Nothobranchius furzeri: one gene and its partners. The protein of the gene in region 1 interacts with the protein of each later gene in a pairwise test. Links are inferred from orthologs where the notes say so. Each region holds a gene or a part of one and is shown on either strand. Other genes may lie near its edges.

Region 1 (4,511 bases):
TTTAAAATTTTGGAGATTAAATTATTGGAATATAATCAAATCCACGTATTTTTATAAAATTGAAATTTTGAAGATGAATTGAGATGAACCTGTTGTGTCAAGTCCTTTTTTTTTTTTTTTTTTTTTTTTTTGCAGAATTTTCTCAACATGACCTCTCGCGCTGGCCTCAGAAGTACCGGTACTAATGGAAGTGACTTTAAACCTAGAGAGAGGGTTGTCCCACATTACCAGATGAGGCTAGTGCTCTTCTCCATATCTGTTATTGATTAATAAATGTAATATGTGTCTCTAACAGTCTGAGGGTCTTTTGTCTTCTTTTCAGTGCTTCTCTGAAGTCTGAGGTGCGGAAGCTGAACTTGGTCCACCTTCTGATCTGGCTGCTGGTGGCGTCCCAAGTGATTGTGAGCCACTTCAACCTGGTGTCACATGACACAGTGTCTGTACCATACCAATGGGAGTACCCCTACCTGCTCAGCCTCCTCCCACTGCTCTGCAGCAGCCTATCACTACCAAAAAACAACATCAGCTACCTGGTTTTATCCATGATAAGTGCTGGGCTGTTCTCTATTGCACCTCTTATTTATGGAGGAATGGAGATGTTTCCCGTAGCACAGCAGCTCTACCGCCACGGAAAAGCCTACCGCTTCATTTTTGGCTTCTCAGCAGTCACCATTATGTACCTCATCATGGTGGTGGCTATTCAAGTGCATGCATGGCAGCTATATTACATGAAGAGTCTGCTAGACTCATGGTTCAACACCACGCAAGAAAAAAAGAAGAAATAATTAAATTAAAATATTTGTGATTAGGCAAAAATATCTGGTATATTTTAGCTGTGTTATTTTGAGGTCTGTTTTATTTTTATGACATAACATAAGTCTTTTGGTTTTATTGTTTTCCAACACCAAGTTTTTAATGAAGTATAATTCAATTTGAAAAATTGTATTCTCTGTTCAACTCTTATTATTTCCTGATACTAAATATAAGGCATTAAAATGGTTTGGGTTATGTTTTATTTTTTATGAAGATTATCGTTATTATAAGTTCTCACCTAGCACAATACAACTAGTTCACTGTGGTAAGGAGTAAAAAAGCAAATGTGGGAAACCAAAAATAAATTCCAATGTTTTTATTTCATTTTATTTATTTATTTATTTTTGCATGTGCAGGAACCTTGATGTTTGACTAATTTTAATTATGAAACATAATAAAACAGCACTGTTCAATAATTATATGTTTAGCATCACTTGATTATATTTTGTTTACAGCTTTGTCAAATAACAGTGAAGTAATACAACTTTGTAAACGTAGATGTGTATATACCAGAATGTTTTGCATTGGTAACATGATTTCATTAACTATAAATATAAAATATGCTTAGTAGTAATAAAAAATGGGTTACTTTAGGCAGTGTTTTGATTTTCTTTGTCTATAATTTTACAATATTGAGAAATGACTTCTTTTATTATGAAATTGCCTAATAAACAGATAGTATTCTATGTGGAAAAAATACGTTTACGTTAACATCCATGCCTGTGAACATAAATAATGACTTCATGCTTTGTAATGTTCCAATTTTAGGGTGGCACACTTTGCTGCCGTCTGCGCCTGCGCGTAAAGAGTGCCACGTACTGTTGACGTTGACTATCCGGAGAACACTTCCTGGGTCTAGCTAGGCTGGCTAAATATATCAAGTAATTTTCACGCTTTGGTGAGGCTTGTTAGGTACTGCGTGGTTAAGTCGTCTGATTCAGGTAAAATCCGCTATTTGATTCAGAGTTTCGCTGTAATATAATTGAGACCTAAGCACACGGGAATGTGTGTGTCATGATTGCATGTTCGCTGTGAAGCTATGTGGTTAGCGCTAACTGGCTAGTGCTAGCTCTGAGCTAACGTCACTTTAACGCCACTTAACTTTTTTCCAAGCAGCTTTTTAAGACTGTTTCGTAGAAAGTTATATTGTAAAAGAGTGAGACGTTCTTAGCAGGGTGAGGCTGGCACACTTGTACAAGTGGCATATACGGTCTTTCTTTAGCTTTGTTTTTTTCCAAATGTAGCTTGTCAGGAAATCACTGTTTACGGATTCGGTGATTTAAAATCAAGTAAAAATTGTCTGTTTTAGTGTAATATTCAAATGATGTGACATAAAAGTATAGTGTTGCTGTTTTTTTTTTTTTACTTTGCTTGTGTGATTTATATTGTGATTGTTGACATGTCAGTCTGTAAGTGGCCCGTCAAAACTTCAGCTGTCCGTGAATTCTGTGTCTAGCACTCAGCCAGCACCACCCCAATTACAGCCCTCTTACATTTGTCATTTGATTCTCATCTAGTACCCCTCTCCCGGTAGAAACCAGCTTTTTTTTTTTTGTTTACCAGTTTATGCTGCTGTGTACTAAACGTTAGCTACAACACAATCCCTAGCATCTAGCTAATTACCCATCTGGCCATGACTGCTAAAGCCGCAACATTTCTGGAATTCAATTCACAATGGGATTTTGTTCAGCCCACTGTATCAGCTGGCGACCACACATTAGCAATAAGTGACAGATTAATCAATCACGAACAGTGAAGTTTTGTTTAATGTAACATTTTATTTATATATTAGCAAATTTTTGGAATCACCGCAAAGTTAGGTGTCATAACTTCCACATTCATAAAAATGGCCATCAGTATTTTTTTCCCTATATTATTGAGTTTTGTTTTCAAATTTGAATTAACAGCAGGCAATCCTTTATAATTTGACTTCAACACAGCTGTGGTGATGCTGAATTGACCTCTAAAATCACAACTCTCATGGAAATGCATAATCAAGTGCCAGCTGTTTAAATTATTAAACATTTTATGAGTACCACTTATGAAAATGCCAATATCACATAGTACCACCTGTTTTCACAGACAATTGCAAAAATGTAATTGCAAGTTTTAGCTGTAATTTGCCCATTTTACATCACAGTTCAGTTTACAATCTCATATTTGACACAAATGGGCAAACATAACCCTTAATCCCATTGAAGTGTGCAGGTTTAATTTGATCATACTTTCACAAACCATAAGCTTTTTTCTAACCCATATGAAATGACACATTTGAAATCAGTCAGATTTCCTCACTGTATCTGTTGCTCACAAGTCCTACAAACGCCTCAGTTTGAGAATCGTGATCTAAGAAATCAGTTGCTGATAGTGAATTTTGACAACTTGGAAATGGTTTAATTTCAGCAGACATTTCAAACGGTTCTAATAATGGTGCTAAATTACTTTTTGGTACTAGACCAGTAAAAGGCTTCTCTTATCAAAGTGGTTCAGATTTATCTAAGTCAACAAGAAGGTTTGTAATCACTTAAGTGTGTTTGCCACATCACTGAGTAGTGTTTGACCCTTAGACTATGCAGATCCTAAGGTCGGTTTGTTCAGCAGGAGGCTGAGTTACAGCAGAAATGGCTCATTTTCAATGCAGTTGTAGTTTATTTGAATCAAACATACTTCCTATAGCATCCAACCATTTCTGGTATATGGCTAAATTAGAACTATTGATGTTCAGTGGAAAAAAAGAGCTTTAATAAAAGCAACTTACTTGTTTTTAATACTGCATCTCTTTTTGGACCAAGTGGTGGAGCCTTAGAGGTCAGACGGCAACATGAACGGCCAGCTGGACTTGAGTGGGAAGCTGATCATCAAAGCCCAGCTGGGCGATGACATTAGACGCATCCCTATTCACAACGAAGACATAACATATGATGAACTGGTGCTGATGATGCAGCGTGTCTTCCGAGGCAAGCTGCAGAGTAACGACGAGGTCACCATCAAATACAAGGATGAAGGTGAGTCAGGACACAGCTCAGGTGCCCGGGTTTCCCCTACTCTAATTACTTAAGAGTAAAATAATTGTAATATAAATTTCACCTGGTCTTTGTTTTTCCTTTGTCAGATGATGACCTCATCACTATTTTTGACAGCTCTGACCTCTCCTTTGCAATCCAATGCAGTAGAATACTCAAACTGACATTATTTGGTAAGACTTTGCGCTTGCTCTCCATGCCTCTGTCACATACTTTAAGCCTGAGTGGATTTGAATGGTCTGCAGATACATCAGCCAGCCACTAGAGGACAGTCTAGCTTATGTTTCACAAAACAAACCTCTGAATAAATGAACTCTGCTGATCTCCAATCACTAACCTTTGGTGGAGCTTCTGTGTCTCTGTGGTTGAGCAAACAAATAATGATTATAGAGGTTCGTAGTGCTGTTCATGCCTAAAGTTAAATGTTTATTAATTCTTGTCCCAATTTTTATTGAACAAAAGTCTTGAAAGTTGTTTAAGTTCTTGTTTCTCAGAGAGAAGAAAACTGGTAGCAAAGAGATGATTCCTAATTCTATATAAAGCTTCAAAAGGACCAATAAAACTGAAACTATCTTCAGATGTCATAGAACAAAGTCTTAATTTTCCTTGGGGTTAAGGACTAAATAACAAACAGAATTTTCAGAGATGCTAGACTAGGATTAAGCTCTTTTCCAA
Region 2 (3,726 bases), on another chromosome or scaffold:
CCCTAAAAGGTCACTGTATTTTAAGATGGCGCATGCCATATGGAGCACCGGTCTGCTTCTTTTGTCTAAAATATTAAAATATAAAGCTAATAATAATGTTTAGAATAAATGCTTGTTTGAATTATCATTAAAAAAAAACAAATTTGAGAATGTGATACAAGAAATTTGATAACTTATAAGATGAAATATCACACATTGGGCCTTTAAATCATCATCTTATTCATTCCACAATTTCACACCAACAACGGAAACACATCTTGATTTCACATTAGTTCTGGCTTTTACACATTCAAACATAAATACACCTCTGAGATTATAATGATCATCTCTTGGTTTGAAATAAACTTTTATGCAATTAGGGATATTATTAACTACTTTATGAAGAATCTCTAAGATTTTTACTTTAATAATATCTCCTAATTTTAGCGTTTTAGTTTGACTAAACAGATTATGAGTTGGTACGAGGTATCCCAATTTATTAACTATTCTAATCGCCTTTTTTTGTCATTTAAATACAGTCTCAACACACGTTTTACCTGCATTTCCCCAAACCTCTGCACAGTAAGACAAATAAGGCATAACTAAAGAGCAATAGATCAAAAACAAGGCTTTTTTATTTAGTACATCACTAGTTTTATAAAGTATAGCAATAGATTTAGACACTTGCCGTTTGATATATTCAATATGTGGTTTCCAACTGAGTTTACTATCAATAATCACACCTAGGAATTTAGTTTCATGTACTTGTTCAATTGGGACTCCATTTAAATACAGCTTAGCACCGTCATTGTGCCTGTTCCCTGAAAATATCACAAATTTGGTTTTATTTTCATTTAGTGATAGCTTGTTGTAATCAAACTATTTTTTAATTAAACCCAATTCGTTTTAAACCTCTTGTAATAATTTACTCATATCTTTTCCCATACAAATGAAATTAGTTTCATCTGCAAACATAATAAATTTTAACCGAGACGATACAGAAAAGATGTTGTTCAGGTATAGGTTGAATAATTTCGGTCCTAGCACCGAGCCTTGCGGTACACCACATATTACTCTTACAAGCTGTGAATCTATATCATTAACATTTACATATTGAAATCTACTGCTTAAATAACTTTCAAGCCATTGATTGGTTTTACCACGAAGACCATAGTATTCACATTTCTTGAGCAGGTATGTGTGATCAATTGTATCAAATGCCTTACTCAAGTCAATTAAGACAGCCACTACATTAAGTCTTTGATCCACTGATGTTGCAATCTGAAGCTGAGCTGAAGCTGAGTGCTACGAGTGAAAAAGTCGCACAGTGTCCGCCCAGCTTTACTCACCTAGTCTCCACGACCTCCGTAAGTCCCCACTCATTACTCCCCTTCTGGACTACATCTCCCAGGACTCACCTCTGTTGTTCTCCCCTCTAGACGCTGCCTTCCCGTTTCTTCACCTGCTGGATTTCCAGTGCGCCCTTAAGCTTGGTTTATGCTTGACGCATTCACTTTCCACGCGGTGACGTGGCTCGCGGCTGGAACGCGCTTCGCAATTTGCAGCGTTTATGGTTTGTGCGGCTCGTCTCTGCGGTGAGCCAATATTCTCCCAAACTGAACGGGGCAGCATGGAGCTCTACGGCAAACATCCAACACTACACCATAGTAGAAGTAGAAATTACTGTTTACAAAACGGCATTTCAGCATTTTTAACAGCGTTCTCGTCTTTTCCGACAGTGCGAGCTATTTCTCTCCAAGAATTATTAACAACATGTTGATCACGGTGATCTCTGAGAGCTGAATCATACAAATCTCTGAATTTACGAACCTCTGCCGTACTAGTTCTTGCCGGTCCGCCATGTTTTTCCGCGTCCGACCGTCCGCGTGGTTAGAAATTTTCCGAGGTGCGCGTTGCGGAAATTCTGGGCCGTGCGGAGACGCGGTGGAGGGGCGTGGTTGTTAAAATGACGCAAAATGACGCAACTTTTCCGCGCGGAGCCATGCGGACCTCACGGACGCGTCAAGCATAAACCAACCTTTAGTTAACGTTCTCCTTTAATAAAAGATTGTTATTTTTCCGTCAACCGTTGTCCTGAACTGATTCAGCATGTCTTGGGTTAGACTCTTGCCCCAAACCATGACAAAACTGACCAATTTTTTTATTAACCTTTGGTGGCAAAAATGTCAACAGCTGAGGTTAGGGACATAAGGAAATAAAACACAATGTTATTCGCTGACCAACCGCTACATGTTGGGTGTCTAAAGTTTCTATTTCACACACTGAGAAAATCCTCCTGCAATGTTTTTTGATCCTGCTTCAAATGCACGATGAGGTTGGACGTATTCATCTTCCCCAGTTTTGTTCCACCACAGGAAACTTGTGCACGACGAGTGTTGCACTGGGCCAAACTGTCTTTTTTGGACTTCAACGAAAAATAAGGACACATGGCCGACATTGTTCCTTGCTACTTTGCTAGCACACTTGGGCTTTGCATGCTGGATCTGGGCACTGCTGGACAGAAATGCTGGAATGAAATTTAAAGCAGAACGTACCACTAATATCGGAGATTTTTGATGCAGTCCGATATAATCCGATAGTGTTTTTGGGCTGATATCCGATATCAATATCGGAGTGGGACATCCCTACTAGTTTCATCAGCAATCGAATATTAAAGGCTCAATAATATTGATAATCCATAATTTTATGGAATATTACATTTGTTTGAATACCTTTATATTCTATTGACAATTTATTAAAAGTAACCACCTACAAATCACCATCACTGTGCATTTTGACCCTTGGGCTCTGTTTAACAGGTCTTCTAAAACCTTAAAGTTGTACAGTCCCGGTTCATGGGTTAGGGTGGTTAGGATTAGGGCTAGGACCGTCAGAAATAAACGGTCTGACGGTCCAAACGTCTTCACATTTAACAAACCCTCTTCACCTCAATTATATTCAAACACACAGGGGTCCACTTACCCTGTCTACCATAAAGTCAATAGCGTCGGCCATTTTAGAGTCCACAGGTCCTTTGGAAAAGTTACCCAGAATGATCTTTTTCAGTAAGAAGGCTGGCATCAGCCAGAAGCTGGGGAGGAAAACAGAAGCTGCATGAATTATGAAACAAACCTTCAGAGACTGTAAAGAGACCCATTAAAGTACCTGTTTGATGTCCATGTTTGGTTGAAGATAGACGTGTCACTGAACGAGTTACACAGAACCAAAGAGTGCACTCTGGGAGACTTGTGTGTGTACTCTGCAAACTTCTGAGCTAAAAATCCCCCCAGAGATGCTCCAAACAGGTGGATCTGATGAGACACACATGACAGAGCTAGCATACAGAGAGACAAATTATTTTTAAAGCTACTGGAGACAAAGTGTAACCTTGTCAAGTTGTAGGTGATCCAGAAGCTTCCGAAAGCCATCACAGAACTCCATGAGATCCCAGTACACGGGATAGTGCAGCTGAAATGACAACATGAAACATTTTCCAAGAATCAAGTAAATGTGAAACCTCTGATCTCAAAAGTATCCTGAACATGATCTTGTGTTGTTCCAGCTCTGGGTACTCTGGAAACTGTGGTTAATGTTAGAAGACTGCTGAAAGGTTTGTTCTCTTTCTAAAAATGTTTTAATGTCTCAATATGGGATATGCCGCTCTGCAGATTCCTCACTTTTTGTGTTAAATATGTAAGCCAATGAGTACCTGCTAGCCATGAAAGCCACAACTACTAAGCAACCAAC
Region 3 (3,927 bases), on another chromosome or scaffold:
GTAGACGCCCTGCGGACGTGATTTAGAATTGTAGGATGGCCAAGGAAGATCCTGCCTTTCTCGCCTCTGATTGGCTAGAAGGGCTCTACTACTACATAGGCTATTTCATTTAGCAGCAAACCGTCTTCCTTTGCAGACTGGCCTCGTGCCACCAGCAGAACAGCTGTTTTGGGCAGGTTTTTTTTTTAAAGAAAACGTGAGCTTAGCGCTATGATGTTATTAAAAAAAACTAAAACGTGAACCTTTAATTAGGGATGCACCAATATGAATCTTTTTGGCCGATACCAAGCCAAGCCAACTTTATTTATAAAGCACTTTAAAACAGCCGTCACGGACCAAAATGCTGAATATAAAAACATAAAAGCATAAAATAGAATACAGTATAGAAGTTAAAAGCACACTAAAATAAAACAGAAATCCAAAACTTCATACAGTGTCGAAAGCAAAGCTAAAAAGGTGGGTCATTAAAGATGATTTAAAAGTTTCCAGTGTGGAGGCCTTTCTAAGATGTGCCGGCAAAGAGTTCTGGGAGCAGCAACAGCGAAGGCCCTATCCCCTCTGAGCTTACGCTGTGTCCTTGGAACGTCCTGGAGCAACTGGTCAGATGACCTGATCGAGCGACTGAAAGGAGGAGTGAAGGTGCAGTAGCGCAGAGAGGTAGCGCGGGGCAAGACCGTTTAAAGACTTAAAAACAAACTAAATAAGTTTAAAATGAACCCTAAAATGGACAGGCAGCCAGTGCAGTGAAGATAATACAGGAGTGATGTGTTCACTCGTGTGTTCATACCGATACTAATATCACTGTTATGGTGGATAACTGATATTTACCGATACTGATGTATTCTTCTGAAATCAGCAAATTTTGTATAGACTGAAATTATGCAAGCTGAAATTTTGAATGTATTGCTTTATTGCTATAAAGCATGATAGTTAAAATAAAAACATATAAAACAAAATCAAACTAAAGAAATAATATATAAAATCCCAAGAGGTAGGCTATAAAAGTCCCACGTGATCTGTTTTTGATGCGCCGGTTGTTGCAACCGTAGGCTGCACAAAAACACGAGCATAGTTGTTCATTCCGTGTTGACTCCAGTTGGGTTTGGAGAGTGAGTGACCCATCCAATATGGCGCCAACGGCGTTCCACTCTTCAGCACCCAATGGGATGTCTACTATTCATACCTACGGAGCAGCCAATGCTGTGGATTATATATCTGGGTTTTATATGCTTTTAAATAAAGCTGGTAAGGAATAAATGTCTGCTTGGCTTACAGAGCTGAAGATTGTTCTAGACTGATAGCAGTTTACTTAAAATGTAGTTAGTGATTTGTGATACTTTTATCTGATTTGTGAAACGTCAAGAAATGCAGATTTCTACATGTGTCTTCGTGTCCTTATCTATTAGAAAATAGACAGGAAATAATATTAGTTCAAAAGGCAGAATCAAGAGTCAAGACCGATGTAATGTTTTCATTTGTGAAAAGTTCTGTCTAATCAAACTGTAGTCCTCTTGTAGGGTTATCCAGGTGGGGGCAACCCATCACCAGGTTCTCCTTACAGCGGACCCAGAGGTCCTTATGGGGGTGGTGCTGCAGGAAGTCCATATGGGGGTAATGGAGCTCCAGCCCATGGTGGACAGTATGGTCCTGGTGGTTACGGGGGACAGCCTTACAGACCTCAAGCACCTGCAGGTAGTGAGCTCTGTGATGGACCAGTGCTCTAAACATCTGTATAACATCTGTCTGGTTTCCTTTCTTTGCTGCTGTTCTCTGTCTTCCTGTCGTGTTCCAGCGGGGATGACGGAGAGGAAGGACATGTAGAGACAGGGGTGGGTTTAACTCAACCAGAGCTTTCACCGATCCAAACCGTTATAACCTTTAAATCTCTCTCTGTCCCAGAGGGGCAGGATGAACTCACCACGCTGAACCCAAATAAAACAGTTGGTTATGACAACATAGACCCCATGTTGTTAAAAGCACCTGGCCTCGTTATTGCTGCTCCCATCGCAATAATGTTTAACTTGTCCTGACGGCTCTCTATCCTTCCTCCAGATTGTAAATCAGCCATGATCTTTTCCCTCTACAAAGGTGGCTCTGAGTCTGACCCTATTTGCTATGGACCCATCTCCATGTTACCTTATCTAGTCCTTGAGAAGTTGGTACTCAAACAGTGAAGCACCTCATCTCCAACCTCATTCTTTCAGACCTGATATGGTGAAAGTTGATATCATCACTGCCTTAGACAGTAAATAGGTCTGCTGCTAAGGCTTTCCACTCAAGTTGACTACCTGTCACACCAACTATCTAGCAACAGCCTGTCTCCATATTTATCGTGATTTTGGTTTTTATATGCTCTGTCACGGCTGGGCAGTAAAGCCTCAAATCAATATAACAATATATGGAGCAGTTCAGCTCCAGAACGACCAGAAGACAGTCACTGCCCGTACGGTGCCAGTTAGCGGGAGAGGGGATGGTGGTGGATTCGTTTGTGGTTCCCACAAAATACTTGGCCACTGCTTCTACATTTGGGTTACCCTGCGTTTCCTGACTGGATGGGGTAAAGTCACGTTTCTCCACCCCATCATGTTTGCATGTTAAAGAATCACCTGTCTCTCTGACTATCCGACTCTCTTGGAGGTCGACCTCTAGGGTAAAGCTGTGTAGTAAAAGTTTACTTGGTCATCCTCCCAGGGATGATTTAGGTTTAATGGAAAAACAATTTATAGTTTTCTTGCCTCAAATAGAGATTTAGCTGATCTAATCATCATTTAATGTCTCCACGTTTGTCCTCCATCTAGGTAATGTCCCCCCTGGTGTTAACCCAGAGGCGTATCAGTGGTTCCAGACCGTCGACACAGATCAGAGCGGATTCATCAACCTGAAGGAGCTGAAACAGGCTCTTGTCAACTCCAACTGGTCCAGCTTTAACGATGAAACTTGCCTCATGATGATCAGTGAGTTACTCAGCTGCTGCAGGTTGGGGCAAAACCGGCGGGGACTGCTGTGTGACTTTTCTAACCTTTGGAGGGTCTTCTAAACAGGTCCAATGTAAATGTGAACTCCTACTCTGTTTAGCTCCGATATTCCAGACTTTAAAGTAAAAACAGTTGATGGTTCTGGGAGGAGTTCAGACGTGTTTGTTTCCAGTCCAACAGTGGTTCTGTTACATTCCTGGTGCCAGGAGCTGACTCGTTCTGGAGACGGGAGAACGAGTCACCTCTGGGGACAAGGACGTGCTCTTCTCAAATAAACCTGGACACGATGAAATGTTTCTACTCAAGTTTAGAAACAAAGCTTGTTTTTATGTTTCCACCGTCAGACATGTTTGATCAGACGCGGTCGGGTCGGATAGATCTGTTTGGATTCTCGGCTCTGTGGAACTTCTTGCAGCAGTGGAGAGCCATGTTCCAGAACTGCGACCGAGACCGATCTGGATGCATCAGTGGCACCGAGCTGCACCAAGGTATACCTAGGTTTCTGATTCTTAATCCAAACCGGTTCTGTTGCTAAACCCAGATGGATGAGGAGAAGTGAGGTAATGACACTGCTCACATCTGGATTTGAACTGTTTCCATAAAATACAGAATTGATTTAGACACTTTATTTCTGACTTGCAGAGCTCTGTGAGGTCAGGTCCCAAAGTATACATGTGACCTATTGACCCCATCAGAATCAGAAAAGTATTACTGCCAGTGCTCCGGCATCCCGAAGCATAGGAATCTGACTCTGCAGCACAGCCTGACCAAGGTTACACACACATGTAGACAAAACAGATACAGGCAGATAGGGATGGGTACCGAATTCGGTACTTTTTAAGGTACCGAACAAATTCCATAGTACCGACCGAGCACCGATTCACGTCATTTCAAACGGTGCCTCGTTTCGGTACCCGTCCATCATAACGAGAACTTGCCAAGACAGCTGCTC

The links.
Region 2: the proteins of tfg (region 1) and spg21 interact in binary tests that used the Homo sapiens proteins (3 or more experiments, as listed by UniProt). The two-hybrid records come from large-scale screens. The link is inferred for Nothobranchius furzeri from reciprocal best matches to the Homo sapiens genes TFG and SPG21.
Region 3: the proteins of tfg (region 1) and pef1 interact in binary tests that used the Homo sapiens proteins (3 or more experiments, as listed by UniProt). The two-hybrid records come from large-scale screens. The link is inferred for Nothobranchius furzeri from reciprocal best matches to the Homo sapiens genes TFG and PEF1.

The regions. Positions count from the first base shown.
Region 1 is NC_091754.1:27,494,912-27,499,422, forward strand, and holds the start of tfg (protein TFG), read left to right. Parts: upstream 1-1,612; 5' UTR 1,613-1,754; intron 1,755-3,605; 5' UTR 3,606-3,634; coding exon 3,635-3,818; intron 3,819-3,925; coding exon 3,926-4,009; intron 4,010-4,511. Other genes in the region: jagn1a (protein jagunal homolog 1-A), read left to right, coding at 148-236, 323-785. UniProt on the Homo sapiens protein: Plays a role in the normal dynamic function of the endoplasmic reticulum (ER) and its associated microtubules. Required for secretory cargo traffic from the endoplasmic reticulum to the Golgi apparatus.
Region 2 is NC_091749.1:20,282,486-20,286,211, reverse strand, and holds part of spg21 (maspardin), read right to left. Parts: intron 3,448-3,726; coding exon 3,367-3,447; intron 3,291-3,366; coding exon 3,145-3,290; intron 3,071-3,144; coding exon 2,962-3,070; intron 1-2,961. UniProt on the Homo sapiens protein: May play a role as a negative regulatory factor in CD4-dependent T-cell activation.
Region 3 is NC_091751.1:28,764,742-28,768,668, reverse strand, and holds the start of pef1 (peflin), read left to right. Parts: upstream 1-1,127; coding exon 1,128-1,202; intron 1,203-1,517; coding exon 1,518-1,692; intron 1,693-2,798; coding exon 2,799-2,954; intron 2,955-3,319; coding exon 3,320-3,463; intron 3,464-3,927. UniProt on the Homo sapiens protein: Calcium-binding protein that acts as an adapter that bridges unrelated proteins or stabilizes weak protein-protein complexes in response to calcium.